Linked DNA regions of Astyanax mexicanus. The protein of the gene in region 1 interacts with the protein of each later gene in a biochemical or structural test. Links are inferred from orthologs where the notes say so. Each region holds a gene or a part of one and is shown in the gene's direction. Other genes may lie near its edges. The genes, in order: prpf40a and mecp2.

What was found.
Region 2: the proteins of prpf40a (region 1) and mecp2 form a complex in vitro, tested with the Homo sapiens proteins (2 studies listed by BioGRID, with this or other methods). The link is inferred for Astyanax mexicanus from reciprocal best matches to the Homo sapiens genes PRPF40A and MECP2.

Annotation. Positions count from the first base shown.
Region 1 is NC_064418.1:29,811,855-29,819,597, forward strand, and holds the start of prpf40a (pre-mRNA-processing factor 40 homolog A), read left to right. Parts: upstream 1-4,491; 5' UTR 4,492-4,534; coding exon 4,535-4,537; intron 4,538-7,275; coding exon 7,276-7,356; intron 7,357-7,462; coding exon 7,463-7,603; intron 7,604-7,743.
Region 2 is NC_064419.1:4,149,858-4,158,788, reverse strand, and holds the start of mecp2 (methyl-CpG-binding protein 2), read left to right. Parts: upstream 1-5,162; 5' UTR 5,163-5,306; coding exon 5,307-5,338; intron 5,339-8,931. Other genes in the region: uncharacterized protein LOC103030869, read right to left, coding at 386-543, 1,584-1,757, 2,918-3,156. UniProt on the Homo sapiens protein: Chromosomal protein that binds to methylated DNA. It can bind specifically to a single methyl-CpG pair. It is not influenced by sequences flanking the methyl-CpGs.

The DNA of each region.
Region 1 (7,743 bases):
CTATTTAAAAGTGCAGCGTAAAATTGTCAGTGTTCTGTTTTAAAGCAGCTTCACGCTGCGCAGATACTGTATGTATGTGGTAGTATGTTTGTGCCTGTGTGAAACCAAACCAAACAGAGGGAGAAAACACTCTTAGTAAACAAATTCATCAACTGATCCCGGACCATAGAAACAAACTACAGGTGTAAAAACATTTTTTTAATACTCAGCTAATTAAGTTCTAATTAAAAAATTCTAACAAACAAGCTTAGATGTTGACTTTATCTTGACTTTATCTCTCCTAAAATATACAAGTATATATTAGTATTTTAATTGACACCACTAATATAAATATAATTGTTTTTTACATTTCTTACATTCATTCTTTTATTTACATTTAAATATCCACTATAACAATTTGTGTCTTCAGAAGAACAAAAGTGATTAATCGCTGTTAATCCAGAATATTGACTACATTTATTAATCGACTGACACCACTACTTTAAATATATAACACCTAAATTCAGTCTGAAGATTTTCAGCAAATATATTGAAGTGAGTCTGCTTTATAACCCATTTTTTTTGCTTTGAGATGTTCTATAATTCAAGCCCCATATGTGCCCATGTTCTCCACGGTCTCTCTCTTTGCTAAAAATGGTCAAAGCAGCTGGCAACAATGGCACAGCGATAGACCTTACAAGACCACCATGTGCCTGTGTACAATACAGAGAATTTTGGAAGGCTTTGAACCCAGCATTAGGCTCAGCTCAAACCTCAGGGATGATAACCAATTACATGAAAATTGCTTTTTCTTTCCCCACATATCCGCTTGTGCCATGTCATCCTGCTCTGTCTCTTTTACCAGTGTGAAAGAGCGCCTCATTTTCAGCCATTAAAGCTTCTAATGGCTTATCATTTGAAAGTGAAGAACTGGCAGCTCCTCATAATGATTAGCTGATGTTCCATATTAAACATAAAAAATATTGGACACCATGCAAAAAATATATTATGTTAAAGACTGATGTTCAGTTCCTCAAAATTCTCCCCACATTTTTTTTTATGTTCTTCTTACTATACCCAGCAGCAACACCGGAACATAAGGTTAAAAATTCCACTCAGCGCAGGCTTGTTTGAAGTCAAACAGAACTGGGTGGCATTGTGAGGGTGCTATATTTCAGGCACAAAAATGAATCTCAATCCTCACGGGGTGAAAGAAATAAATTTTTCGGGGTAAACTGGAACATGTGGCCAATTAAAGCAGCATGACGAATGACCATGGCAACACAGAGACAGACAGATTTTTACCAGCTACCTGCAGAGAGTTTATAAATAGATCCTGTGTCGGACGCAATATTGTTTTCGCCCGCTCAGAGTCAGCTGTGTACTGTACCATGGGAGGCTGCACTGATTGATTTCCCTTGTGTTACAAATGTCAGAAGTTTGGCTCGTATAATATTTCTCCGCTCATGATGCAGTCGAACAATTAGACCCTTCCTCATTTATTATTTAAGCAGCAGCCTCATAATAACATGTAAACAAAAATAACTGCCCGAGTCATTAACCTAATGGTTTCACTTAATTTGCATGCAATTTAAATAAAACACCTACCAAGACAATAGAATACAACAATAAAACAAATTAAAATATTTTTACCTTTTAATAAAAATAAAAAAAACTTTTGATACGATCAATCACTAAAGAGATTCGTACAGATCACTATAAAACCTGCTTCTTAATTAAATATTTGAGTTAACATACAATACTGGGATCACCTAAGCCAAACTAACTAGTAAATTGAAAATTTACTAAAAAAAAATTAAGACCACTTAAAAACGATGATTTTCTTTGAAAAATTGATAACCTCCGGAATATAATCAAGAGGAAGATGGATAATCATAAGCCATCAAACAAAGCTGACCTGCTTGAATTTTGCACCAGGAGTGGCCTAAATTCATCCAAAAGCAGTATGCAAAACTGGAGGAGGAGAACATGCCAAAATGCATGAAAACTGTTATTAAAAACCAGGGTTATTCCACCAAATATTGCATTCTGAACTCATAAAACTTTTAGTTTTTTTACTATTTGAGGTCTGAAAGGTATACTGCATATTTTTTGTAATTTCAGCCATTTTCATTTCTGCAAAATAAATGCTCTAATGACAATATTTTTATTTGGAATTTAGGAGAAATGTTGAAGCGTAGTTTATAGAATAAAACAACAATGTTAATTTTACTTAAACATATACCTATAAATAGTGGTCTCTTAATTTTTTTCCAGAGCTGTATATCTTCTATGGTGTCATTCAAACCCCTTTATTCTACCTTTATTCTCAAGATTGTATAATTAATAATAAGAAGTTTATGCACTGTTTGCATGCACTGTCTTGCCTATTGACTCCAGCTAAAAAGCCAGCACCACCATGCCAACAAACTGTTTGCAGAATTGAGCAGAAAAAAAAATTAAGAGCATAAAATGTATTAACACTCTATATTTTTCACTCTGAGCAAATCCTGTAGTCTGATTGATCTCAACTCTTTGGCCACAGAGATTGCAGGTGTGATTGATGTAAGAGGAAGAGACATACATACATCAAACAGAGCACCATACATAAAATATGGTGAGGGATATTTGATGCTTCTGTGTTGGAGAGAATCTGATGTGCTGGAAGTGATCCTGTATTGGTATTTATTTTTGGTATCACCTTATTTTTTTCTAAGGGCAAAATGCTACTATCAGGAGTATAAGGAGGTCTTTCAAGATGATTTTGAAGTAGATATGGGAGCATAAAAAGTACATATTTATATATCTGGCATAATAATAATATAAATAAATATACAATTATATTATGTAATTATTGTAAAACTACAGTTTCAAAATCATATTGATACATTTAACTGCAATTGGAAGCATCTCTGCTATTACAACTCTGGCCTGAATCTCTGATATGTTGCTAGATCATTGTCTTGCTGACTGTATGTATTTTATATCTTTTTCACTTTGAGCTGTATGGAAAACCTAAAGTGTCAAAATATGTTTTTATCTACTTTAGAACTTTAAACAGTATCTCACAAGTGAGTACACCTTTCACATTTTTGTAAAAATTGTACTTTTCATTGAACAACACTGAAGATTCTTTGATACAATGTAAAGTAGTCAGTGTACAGCTTGTTTAAGACACAGCCATTAATGTCTAAACCACTTCCAAGTGCACCCCGAAGTAAAATGGCCAAATTGTGCCAATGTCAATATTTTGTCAATAGGGATTAGGTCTGGAAACATGCTTGGCCGGTCCAGCATCTTCACCCTTAGTTTCTTAGGAAAGGCAGTGGTCAACAGGTCAAACTGCCCTGCGGTCTAGTTTCCAAAGGGAGGGGATTGTGCGCTGCTTCAGTATGTAAGGACATGTTGGCATTCATGGATCCCTCAATTAATGTAGCCCCCCACAGCCAGACCATGCTTAACTGTAGGCAAGACACACTTGTCTTTGTACTCTCCACCTGGTTGCTGACACACATATGTGCCACATTCTGAACCAAATAAGTTTTTTTGTCTAATCAGACCACAGGACATGGCTCCAGTAAGCCATGTCCTTTAATACAGTGTTTGGCGTTTGGTCTTAGTACTCACCCACCCCTTTTAACTCTGCAGCAATGCTGGCAGCACTCATGCATCTATTTTCAAAAGCCAACCTCAGAATATGCCGCTGAGCATGTGAACTCAACTTCTAAGGTTGACTATGGTGAGGCCTGTTCTGGATGTAACTTGTCCTGAAAAACTGCTATATTGTCTTGGCCACCATGCTGCAGCGTAGTTTTGTACAGCCTAAGCCATCTTTATGCAGAGCTACAATCCTTTTTATCAGATCCTCAGAGAGTTCTTTGCAATGAGGTGCCATGTTGACTACAGTGAAGGTTCTAGAGGGGCAACAGGGGCCAGTATCCCTCCCACAACACACTTGGACCCCCCTATGGTCCCCCAAGAATCTCTTCACGTCTACAAACATACAAGGAAAGCAGCACACTAAAGTAAATACTAATTTTACTTCTGCGTCAAACCTATGCCGTAGCCTGACGCACACCTCCCCAGAAATGTAACTGTGTGACGCATATATTATCATCATCATTATTATTGCTAAGCTTAGTTTATCCTTTCTCTTATTATTTAAATTTTTATTGTTCTTACTTTTTATTTACTTATTTTTATTCTATATTGATTTTGATTTTTGATTTTGATTTTTAGTCCATTATTATTCATTGTAGCATTTCTTATCACTCTTATAATTTTATTTTATCATTTACTTTTAATATTAAAACAATATTAAAATAATTATATAAAATAGCATATATTTTGTGTAATAAGTTTCATGATAACTACAAAAAAAGTCCCGCTCAGTTTAACCTCAGTCGGTGGCTGGTTCTGCGCATTGTGTGCGCATCGCGGAGGGCCGAAAGGCAGCGCTCTGTTTCCCTGAACTTTGGGTTTGAATGGAAGAGCCAATCAGAGGGCAGCTTATTGCGTGGTGGAGGAGAAGTTGGGCTGCTAATGTGGAGTCAACATGGTGAGTTAATGAATCCGCTGTGTGTAAAGTGCTGGATCGGGTTGGGTTTGGGGACAGTGAGCGGTACAGGGCTGGGTTCAGGGGTTTACTGTGCTGGGTTTGGGCTGGGTCGGGTCTCGGGGTCTCGGGCGGCGGGGTTATCTCAGTGTGTTGTGCTGAGAGTGGGTGAGTGTTAGCGGGCTGCGCTGAGCTGCGCTGTTCTCCGTCATTCTCCCCCGGCTGCTTCATTCAGCGCTCAGCGACCAGTTTATACTAATTTATATATAAACTACAGCGGTCCTGTAGCTCCAGTTTAGCGCTGCGCAGCGGGGCAGCACCTAGAGCCGTGTCTGCGCCCCGGTCTGTGTCCTCAAATCCTCAATATACACACAAAGAGAAGAGACTGAGCCCGGCTGTGGCTATAGCGAGCTAGCCGAGCTGTCTGTGAAAGTTCAGCTCCTTATTCTTCAGTGTATTTTATTCATATTTTTCCTAATTATTATTAGAGTAAATTTACCTTTTTATAAAGTAGCTAAGTTAGTCTGTTCTTCCACAGGTTACTGAGTTTAAAACTCTGACGTTACTGAGTGATTAGTTCAGCTAGCTGTTAGCTGGGTTAGCAGCCTAGCTTCGTTAGCTAGTTCTCTATTATAAACACATCACATCAGAGCATGGCTGGGCAGTTAATTTACCCAAGGGGCCACATAACATAATACACAGTGACATTTGTGTCATAGACCTTTTAAAAGATGTGTAAATGTCCCTACAGTACTCTGTCATTCAATTTAAACCCCTAAAATGCCTGGTACTGTAAACAGGCTACAGGTGTAGGTGATACAAAACCATTTTTACTGCAGTAAAGTAACTTATTTACATTCTGAAAATTTGAGGGCTTTGAAATCTCTTGTAGGACACTTTGAGAAGCTACCTGTTTTCTCTCTATTTCGCTTAATAATTCCAGATCAGTAACAGGAATTAAACCCTAATTTTGCATGTTTGAAAATAGACGTAAAAACTAGACGAACATAATGAAACTAGGGTTGGAGGACATAAACAGTTTGATTTGTATTCAGGAAAATATTGCTTTGGAAATGAAGTTTAGAAAACAGCCAATTTTATTATTTTATTCATTATATTTTGACATTAATAGATTTACTTATTGTTTTATATTTTTCTATTACAGTTACTATTGTGCTTTAGCTTTTTATGTAGTGCTTAAAAAAAAATCTTCAAGATTTACAATTGACAGGAGGTTAAACCCGTCAAGTTCATAAGTGACACTGAACATCCTGAGAGCATCACTACAGGACAGTGTGTGAAATCTGTGTTTTTTTCACCTCACCAGATTTAGCTGTTAGCTACCAAATTTAGGTAGCTTAGCTCATTTCAAAGTGTTCAAAGTTTTTACTTCTACAGGTCTGTTCCAACCAAGTTTAGATGTTACAATTAGGCAATAAACATGTGAAGCAGGTATAGGTATATATAACCTAAATACCGCTATTATATTATGTCATTATTTGACCAATATAAACACATTAACAGCAGTGAACAAAATGTTCATGTGTTTGCAGTAAAAAAAAAAAAACTCACTTAATACAAAGTACTATGTTTGTCTGCTATTTGGTCATAGTATAATAAACTGTTTTACTGTTTTTAGGCCTGTATTGGTATTTAACAAGTGTAGTAAAGTCTGGTTTAGTTTCTGAGGTGGATATGTTAAGGGCCTTCTATAGGAAAGCAAAGGGTCAGATGTGGCCCCTGGCCCTTAAAATGCCTAGGTCTGCATTACAGTCTCTGTCTAACATAGTTAGGCTAGCAAGCTAGGTAACAAATCACTTAGGGGTCTCGGGTGTAAAAAGTAGCTAATGAAAGTATCTAGCTAGAATGTTATAAATTGATGTAGCTGGTTATAAAGTTACCAGCAAATGTTATCTAGCTAACTCATTATAATATTGAATTATTATTATTATTATTATTATTATTATTATTATTATGTGTTTCCCACTAAATAAACATTTTGATGATGTGTTCCAGAAATTATTGGTAAATTATTGCTAAGTGGTTATTGTTATTTTTTTGCTGCATATTTTCCAATTTAACAGGATTTGTTTACACTCTATATAATTAAATGTACAGTTGGGTCATTTTTCTTTAAGCACTGATAAGGTCCTAATTAGATTATGTCAATATATTGAATAATAAGTTGATAACAGTCATTGTATATGGTTATAATATCAACAGCTGGACCTCATCCATCCATTTAAAATATGCCCAGGTGGGGCCTTTATGGGTAGCGTAACTCTGGCACCCAGAAAGTTTTAATGTTGACCCCACAAATGGATGTCCGTGATGGTGGCTCATCAGTGCATTGCACAAGCGGCTCATGTGAGATAAAGATGGGCTGTAACAATATGGATCGTTACACATGTACAGTCCCACTAATAGCCCATTCCCATCTGATATTCACCTAGCACTCAGTCCACCCATATGAGCCCCACATGAGCATGTTGGCTGTGCACCTCAAAGGCATGCACTGTGTTGTGTTGAGTTGTGGTCCACCATAAACATTTTAGTTTCAGGACTGAATTTTACTTCAAGCTTGCTGGTGCTGGATGTGTACTTTTCCTTTTTGCTGAGTTCTTGTTTTAAAGTCTCTGTTACATTAAAGGATAACAGTAACATACTCACCAGAAGTTTTTTAGAGCATCTGTTCCTCAGAGCTGCGGTGGTAATTGTATGGGCTCTCTTGTTCATGACAGTCCTCTGCTGATGGTAATAATGGCCCAAGCCAAGCACCACCTTTTCCTGGTGTCCCACCCTCAGGGATGCCACCGCCTTTTGTAAGTTGGTGTTGGAAAGCAGTTTCTTGTGTTTTGTTTTGTATTGCTAATCACAATTTGTAGCCTGAACTGTTTTTCCTAATGTGTTGCTTTGCTTCTCTCCAAGATGGGACCTCCGGGAATGCCGCCTCACTTCCCACCAATGGGAATGCCACCGATGGGCCAAAGGCCCCCTAACATGGCTCCCATGCCTCCAGGGATGATGCCCCCTATGATGCCCCCAATGGGAGGTCCTCCAATGGGTCAGGTAAGAAATTACATTTGAACAAGGGTCAAATCCTGTTTTGCCATTTGCAATATTACTGTCAAAAAGATGCAAATTTTATAAAAGGTCTTGCACTTTGAATTCTACTAAATCTACTGGAAAAAGACTAAGTTAATGTTTAA
Region 2 (8,931 bases), on another chromosome or scaffold:
AAATCAGATAAACTAATTCAGAAACGTATATAATAAAACAATTATATAATAAAACTTCATATAATTTGTTTCTTTTTTCCCCTGGTTTCATTTAAGATTTTAAAGTATAAAAGATACAGAATAGCTGCTGAGTTTAGGAGTATTTGTCTGTCTGTGATTTGTCTCTTTGTCTAAATGTATTTATGTATCGATCGTGAAGGTGGTGGTCCTCTATAACACACCCAAGTATAGGCCATTAAGCTTTTGGTACTAAGGAGAGTCCAATAAAATGAACATGTGTGTCAACTTCCTTTCCCTAAAGTTACACTGGAACTTTTTACTGTTTCTACTGTTGAGTTTAGGTATTTTACTGTGCAATAGAACCTGGACCTCTAGATTAAATCACCGTTTGTGGAGTCCTGAAGGGTGTTTTTGAGCTCCTCTCCGTTGCGCAGGATGGTTTCCTGTGATTTGAGGGCTGCGCTCTGGGCCTCTACAAGATCCTCCGCCATCCTCTGAGTGGACGCCAGCTGCTCGGCCACACTGGCTGAATTCTCGGTCAACCTGACACAGAGAGGCTTATAGTTTATATATTAAGGAAAAGAGGCTGCATTTTTACAATACAGATTAAGCTAGAAATTGTAAAAAATTATAAAACATAGATTCCGAAAAAAGATAATCCTTCATCAACATTAAATTTAGCCACATGGAACTGGAATCTATACTTGCAAAACAGTAGATATTCTATACAGCTAGTAAAATATTAGGAGCCTATTTTCCAGAACTTAGATTTCCCAAAATAGTATCTTTACAGTTCCTTTTTTTTTTTAAGTGACGCTACTGAATAACTATAAAAAAACCATAACATTAAAATAGTGCTGGGAGGATAATTGAATCAATAAAGTCATTAATCAAATTGCTGTTTTAGTGCAATCATAAAATTATTAACTTTTACATATAGGGGAATTTCTCAAACCGAAAGAAAGAAAGAAAGAAAGAATATAGGGGAATCTCTCAAAACAAGAAAGAAAGAAAGAAAGAAAGAAAGAAAGAAATAAAGAAATAAAGAAAGAAAGAAAGAAAAAGAATATAGAGGAATTTCTCAAAACAAGAAAGAAAGAAAGAAAGAAAGAAACACTCATATATATATATATATATATATATGAAATATAAGAAGGTTAAATTTTGCACCTAGTTGTTCATCAACTGATTGTAAGGTTTAATGGATCTGTTAACTATATTTAAAAGAAGAGAAATTAAACTTTTGTTTTTATATTGGCTTTATAGCATTTTAATTGGGTTTTGATGAGTTTGCTTCCCTTAAGATTAAAATGTAAAATAAACACATTTGACAGCTCAAACTGACGCAAATATAAAACTTAAACAAAACGTGTTTCCAGTTATGTACTAACAAACAATCAAAATTGTAATTGTTCATTTAACTAAAGAATATTGAGATTGTAAAAAAAAAAAAAAAGTTATCCAGTCCTACACAGAAAGTGTTTCTTCCTTGATGAGGCACAAAAAAAAGAAACAACTTTAAAATCAGTGAGTAGGTAATGACCATGAGTCTGGACCTCTCGCCCAGAATCGCCCTTTCCCACCTGTGGATGGTGTTTTCTGCCCGATTCTGCCACTGCTCGCTCTGCAGGTAATGGCAGATGCTGTGGGCGTGGGTGAAGAACTCTGTGTAGGTGTTGAACGCGACAGGATCCATGTCACGGGTGCAGACTTTAACATCGCTGCCCTCAGGGCACTCTGGGAAATTACGTCCGGACCTACAATGAAAAAACATCAAACAGTCACCTGATTGGAGCACACAGACTGTATGGCGGTTATATAAAAAGCATTTAGTCTTTTTAAACGGGCAGGACAAAGCTGAGCTCTCAGGTCAGCTCTCTAGGGTGGAGTTAGATTACAGTAGCAATAAGCTGAATAAATCAACGTCAATTTATTTGTCTCAGAGCTACTATCAAATGAAACAGAAACAGACAATAAACAATACATCATTAGCTTCACAGCAGCCCAAGGCTATGCAGCTCTAGTAACGCTGATTCACATTCACAACGAGCAGAATCTGACAGTTCAGATACCAAAAAGGAATTAAAGCTGATATATCTGTGCTTATTTCTATTACATAGAGGCCCAGTTTAAACTTTTTCAAATGTTTTCCTACATTGTAAAATAATATGAAGCATCTAAATCTAGAATCACTTTACTAAATAATTCCATATGTTTTTATTCATAGTTTGGATGGCTTTAGTATCAATCTACAAAATGTAAATTATGGAATATTATATCCAAATCTTTAAGTGGTACTGTGGGTGAATATATAAAATACAAACTCTCATTCAGAACATTAAAATAAAAAAATATATATATATTTTGTACATTATTTTGTACTATTATTTTCCATTACATAACCATGTTTAGCTTTCATTCCAGATCAAATAAAGCAGGGTAAGGGTGATCTGATTAAATGATGAAACATTATTATTTTTAAGATTGTAGTGTTTTATAGAACGTATCGTCACTGTCCAATGAAAAACTAGTATATCCATTTTTGTAATTTTTTTGTTTATTACATAATTTTAACAGACAAACTGTCCCTTCCACTGTGCCAAAAATTTCTTGATGAACAGACCAATAGAAATACTTAAAATTGAACTGAAATAAACTCTTTTTACATTGACTTCCATTGAAAGTTTAGAAGGTTTTTTTTCTCTTCTGTAAAAAGGAGACACTTTTTTTAATTGGACAGTGAAAATATAGAGTTGTATAGAAAATGGATGAAAACCTATGCATAGTATTGTAGTTAATGATGCTCGTTTGGCATTTTTAAAACACTAGTTATTCGTCTAACCGTAGTAATCAGTCGATTAATCAATTAATAATCGAATCAGTCCTATTAAGTGTGTGTGGTGGGTGAATCTGAGACCTCCTCAGGTGGCAGTGGGTGAAGGCCACGGCTATCATGCTCTGCATGTCCGCGGTGAACTCCCTGCAGCCCGTGTGGATCTTCTCCAGAGCCCGGCTCCAGCACTCCCCGTACCGGGGCTGCACCGCCAGATCCCGCACCTTCCGCAGCTCATCCCGGCCCTTCTCCTCCAGGGTTTTATCCGCGGCCACGGCGAGCAAAACCCCAGCAAACCACCACAACTGCACCCCAACGCGCATGGCTTACCGCAGCTAACAGGCCCTGGATTCAGTAATGGGAAAACCACAGCGTGGAAGCCACGCCCACAAACCCCGGTCCAATCAAGACAGAGCCGACGGTCCAATTAAGCTTCGTGCAGGCTGATTGGAGAATTAAGAGGACCTTCTATGGAGGTGTCCTAAATCAACCACTTGCTCCCTAAGTAGTGAATTGAGCCTAAAGAAGGTAGGCTTTGTGACACATGCTAATATTGTTTTTTAAAACTCCCAGACCTAGTTTAGCGTCACTACTGGATAAAATATAGAAACTAAATAAAAGTATCTGAATAAAATGTTTTTTATTTTCATGTTTTAATTATATTTTTTGTACTAATACTATTACAGTATTTATTCCTATTCCTACTATTTTCTCTTTGTCTCGCTGTTTTGTTATTTTTTGGTTTTCCTTTGTGAAACTTTAATTAGAACTGCAATATTTATATGAAAATGTTACGTAATTATTGTATTATTATTATTATTGTTAGTCACATTATATTAATTATATTTTTACAGCTTTAACAAGAATTATATCACTTGAATGCAAATTTAAAGTTAGTGGTTATGTTCAACAACAAGTAAAACATTTATACAGCTGAACTATATCACTATATCTATATTTATCTATAGCTGAACTTCATCACAGAGAGTTCTGAGGCAGCTGTGATACGGCATAGGACTCCAAAAGGAATTAGACATATTACTGTATGCTTTAACATTTGTTTAGATGTATAGTATCACTACTTGCCAATGTCAGCATTTAAACTAAATAATTGTGCTATGAAATGCCAAAAAGCATTTACTAGTGGGTGGTTTGCAGTGGATGTGGCATTAAGTGGGTATGTATTGGCAATATTAAATTGAAAATTAATTGACAATTTTTGAGGGCCAGGGTTAGGTTTGTCCTGAGTTTTTGGTTTTGTAGATGATGCTCACTCTTCTGGTTTACACTGATCGATACAGTGTGAAGCTTCTTGGTCTGATTATATTTCACTGATCTTAAAATTGGTGAAAATCAAATAAGCTAGTGTTCTGAAAGCATGCGGTTATGTTCCTATGTGCCATAAACGGATTAGAATCGGGTTAGAGAATTAGAAACTGACAGGAATAGGAGGTGAGCAGCAAGTAGGGCATAAAGAAAGCAAAATCATGTAGCCTGAAATTAAAAGTGTTTGTCTTAAGGTAGATAGTATAACAAGGTGTGTTCAAACTTTTGACTGGTAACGTATAATTTACAAGACAAAAGAATTAAAACCTACAGTACAAATCTTAACATTAATGCATAAATTAGGATAAAATATTAATGCAAACTCTGGAAGTAGTTCCCATCAACTGCTTGGCAGTCAAAATAATCTTCTAATTATCTAAACATCATAAACATCATAAGTTTTAAAATTTCACCATAATATTTATATCAGTGTACAGCAGGGTTACACCGTGAGCTCTACACTGTAAAACTCGAACAAAAACACAGTGCAAACAGATAATGTAGTTTAGCCTGTCACAATAATTGTATTATCAATGTCCTCAATATTTATTCCGAATTAGAATATTGTCTATTGTGTTTGTTCACATTCATAAAAGTGAACAGTATTTTAGCCAATGCTTCAAAAAAGTATATTATATAGTATATTTCCCAAATTATGATTAATCGCAAATTTGTTGTCGTTAAAAGTATATGATTGCTTTGCTGTGTTATTCTGTTATCATTATATTTAATGGTCATAAACTGACAATACTATTGTTAATTAATAATTAATCACAATAATTACTGGGACGATATATCAAGATATATCAATTTTATTACAAAATACAAAAAACACATAAACACCCTCCTATTCAGATGTAACAGTATGGTATTGCAGTGTGTGTGTGTCTGTGTGTGTACCCCCCTCTCTCACTCGGCCTAGACATACATTCCTCTCCGATGATTGCCTGCCCCCCCCCCAGTTCTCGCGAGAAGTGCTGCCGCGCAGAGCGGGACAGAGCGGCGGAGCGGCCGCGGAGGTCTCGCGAGATGTGCAGCAGAAGCGATGGTGTAGAAGAGGGAGTGGGGAGAGGGCGAGGGGCGCCCACAAAGATGTTGCGTGATTTTTTGGGGGAATTTATTTATTTAAATAATAAAATATAAAAAAATGGCCGCCGCGGAGAGCGGAGAGGAGAGACTGTAAGTGCAAAATTGCTGTTTGTTGAACGCCGTAAAAACCGCCGCGGAACCGCTGATTCAAATGTCGGGCGCCGCACAAAAAAGCGCCGCTGCTGTTGCGCAGTATTCATTGTAGCTGTACCGGAGCCGCTGTTGGGCTGCGAAATAAATAAATAAAATAGTAGTGCTGTTAGCTCGCCGCGCTAGCCCGTTAGCCAGCTAGCCAGAAAGGCGTTGAGAGGATACGTCACCTGTATTTCCCCCTCTGCCTTTCCCAGAATCGCGGGGGATACGAGCGAATAGCTACTTTCCGCGCGGCTGTTCGGTTAGCTAGCTTAGCTCAGTAGCGGGAGAGGAGCAGGAGGAGGAGGAGGTGTGTTTTGGGTCGTTTTCTGACCTCACTCAACTCTCTGCGAGATAACCTGGCTAGCTAACTAGCTACTACCTCCAAACCTCTCTCTTTATGTGTGTGTTCTCTCGTGAAATACTGTAGCTAAGCTAGCTAGTGCCTCTCTTGCTGCTTGTTGTCCTGCTTTCTCCTTCTTCTCTTTCTTTTTTTTGACGGTTCAAAACTGAACCCGTTCACCCCACCGTGCAGTTAGTTGAAAATAAGTTAGTTAGCCAGCCTGCTATCTATCTGTCATACCCAGAAACCTGCTTCTGCTGTTTTCATGCTTGTGCCTTCTCACAACAATGTTAGTAACTGAAAAACACACAAACTCGTGTCATAGTCGCTTTAGAGCACACACACACAAACACATGTATATGTTAGACAGGCTTGTCTTGTTTGTCTTGTTTGATGGTCAGTCAACTAGTTGGCTTAGTTAGCTTGATGTACAGTTACAGCTGTTGTCTCTGGTCAGTTGAGTTCAGATGGAGGTTTTGCGTTTTTTTCTTTGGGAGAGGATGAGCTGGGGTGAGTGCACTCACTCTGAGCACAAGACACTCCCATCTCATTTCAGATTTCAGGTTAGTTTCTGTACCAAATGGGCCACAACACAGTGCTGCTTTAGGTTGTCACATCTTGGTCATCAAAACATCACACAAACTCTTAGCCTACTACCTGCTCTCACATGGTGGCCTGGTTTGGGGTAATTTTCTGAAATCACTGGCTAGCTAGCTAACTAGCTCCTATCTCCAAACCTGTGCATGTGTGTTTTTTTGGGAACAATTTTTTTTTTTAAATGTGAAAACGGCACCGGTTCACCCCACTGTGCAGTTGAAAATAAGTTAGTTTGCCAGACTGCTATCTGTCATTTCCAGAAAGTTGCTTTTGCTTCTAATGTTTCCATGCTTGTGTCTTCTCACAGCAATAATACTAACTAAAAAACACATAAACTTGTGTTATAATGCCTTTACATTCACACACACACACTTGCTGACTGTTTCTGCTATTTTGTTTGATGGTCACTCACCTAATTTGATGTGCAGTTACAGCTCTCAGTTCAGGTCAGTGAGTACATATAACCTGAAATCATCCACATTTTTCGATGGTCATTCTTAGCAGCATAGTGTTTTTAACCCAACTAACTTCACATGCTATTGCATCTGTTGCTGCTACTGAGGTGGATACAGGTGACAGTTCAGTTGAGTTCAGTTCAGTTCAGTTGGTGGCTTTACTTTTTTGTGTTTTCTTTTTTTATGTGGCTTGAAAACTATACTAAGTTTGCTCATGCTTGCAAATTATGCATTTGGATGCTTTTTAAGAGAGATGAGGACACCCTTAACCTCCAAGCACATTCTTTTCCGAAGCTGTAGTAGTGACAAACATTACCCGAACGTTTGTTGTAGAACATCTAATGCTAGCTTCCACACATGCTGGCCTGATTCTGCGGTCTGTTTGTGTGCACATGCATGCAAATTACTTAGTTAATTAGTTAGGATGGTCTTGTTTGATTATAATTGAACTACCTTGACATACAGCTGTCAGTTCAGGACATTTCTGCTTAATGTTGTTACACCTTGGGAATCAGACTTTCACCCAATCTCGATGTAGTGCCTGCTTTTATATGGTGGCCTGGTTGTGCTTTCTATGGCTTTACCATCCAAGTTAGCAAATTTGTAGAGAAGATAGTTAAACAGTTGGAGGCTTCCATGGAAGGATGAGGACACTAGTATATGTAGTGCTTGCTTTCCGCACACACACACACATATGCTGGGCTTGCCTTTTTGTCTGTTTACATACATATGTTTGCAGGTTTTTTTTAGCTAGTTAGGCTGGTCTTGTTTGATGGTCACCAACAACTTGCCTGCTGTGCAGTTATAGATGTCAGTTTAGGTCATTTGAGTTCAGATGGAGGTTTTTCTTTGGGATTAATGAGCTGGAGTAAGTGCAAGTGCACAAGACACTTCCTTTTAAGTATATATGTGATTTAAGGGTAATTTGGTTGCGTTTCCGATTTCAGGAACACAACACATTGCTTCTTGGATGCATTCTGAAATACCCATCTACATATGTAGCTTCTTATATGTTCTCACATGTGGGACATCAGACTGATTTTCCTCTTGTCATACTTTCTCATATATATGCCTTGGAGATTTTCTATGGAGGTTGGGCGCATTGTGTTCAACTACACATCTTGCGTACAGCCACATTAGTGACCGGAAATCGGAAGTCTTGACTGGCTATTATTGCTAAACCATGCTAACTTTATATGCAGATTGCTTCAGTTGCTAACATCAAGGTGGATACAGGTGATTAAGCGCTGCTCAGTTGAAGGCTTTGTTTGGAAGGATGAGCTGAAGTTAAAGTACACAAGGCAAGACACTCGTATTTGAGCAGGCTTGTGTTGTGATTTCAGGGTAATATGTTTAAACTCTATTGCAGGTTAGTTGCTGTATCAAATGCGCCACAACACAGTGCTTCTTGTGTACTTTCCTGAAGAACCCACACTTCCTGTGTATTGTCACGTTAGGTACAGGGTGGGTGATATGACTAAATACCTCATACACTGCCTGGCAAAAAAAAAAGTTGCTGCCTAAAAAAATCACACTCTAAAATTTCGTTTAACTTTTAGCATTGATTGTGGCATTGTTTTGATAAGCTTCTGCAATGACAGAAGATTTATTTCAATCAAGTGTTACATTTTCACCAAGATTTTGCACTGATAATGGTAGAGCCATCAGGAAAGAAAAAATCCATTGATCCAGGAATAACATGGTCTATATTCAGTATATTCAGGTAGTCAGCTGGCCTCATTCTTTCAGCACATACTGTTGCTGAACCTAAACCTGCAGACCAACTGCAGCAATCCCAGACCATCAGATAGTTTGTATTGTGGTATTTTTTTTTGTTATTACATACTTTTTATAGTGTATATATAAGGCTTTGAAGAGACAATGTAAAGAGGAACTTATTGGGTTGACAAAACACAATTTTAACAGAATATCTTTTTTTATTTCATGGCACGAGATCTCATCACATCTCTAGCAGCTTTTTATCTTTTGGGTTTCAGTAAAATAAAATATTTTCAATTATTTATTTCAATCATAACAAAAATATATAATGTTAAAGTCTTGTCTCATTCTCGTCTCATGAACCCAATAAGATGCTTGTCTTGTCTTATGAGATAACTTCATTTGTGTTTGTTAATTGTGTGGTTACGTTATTTCGG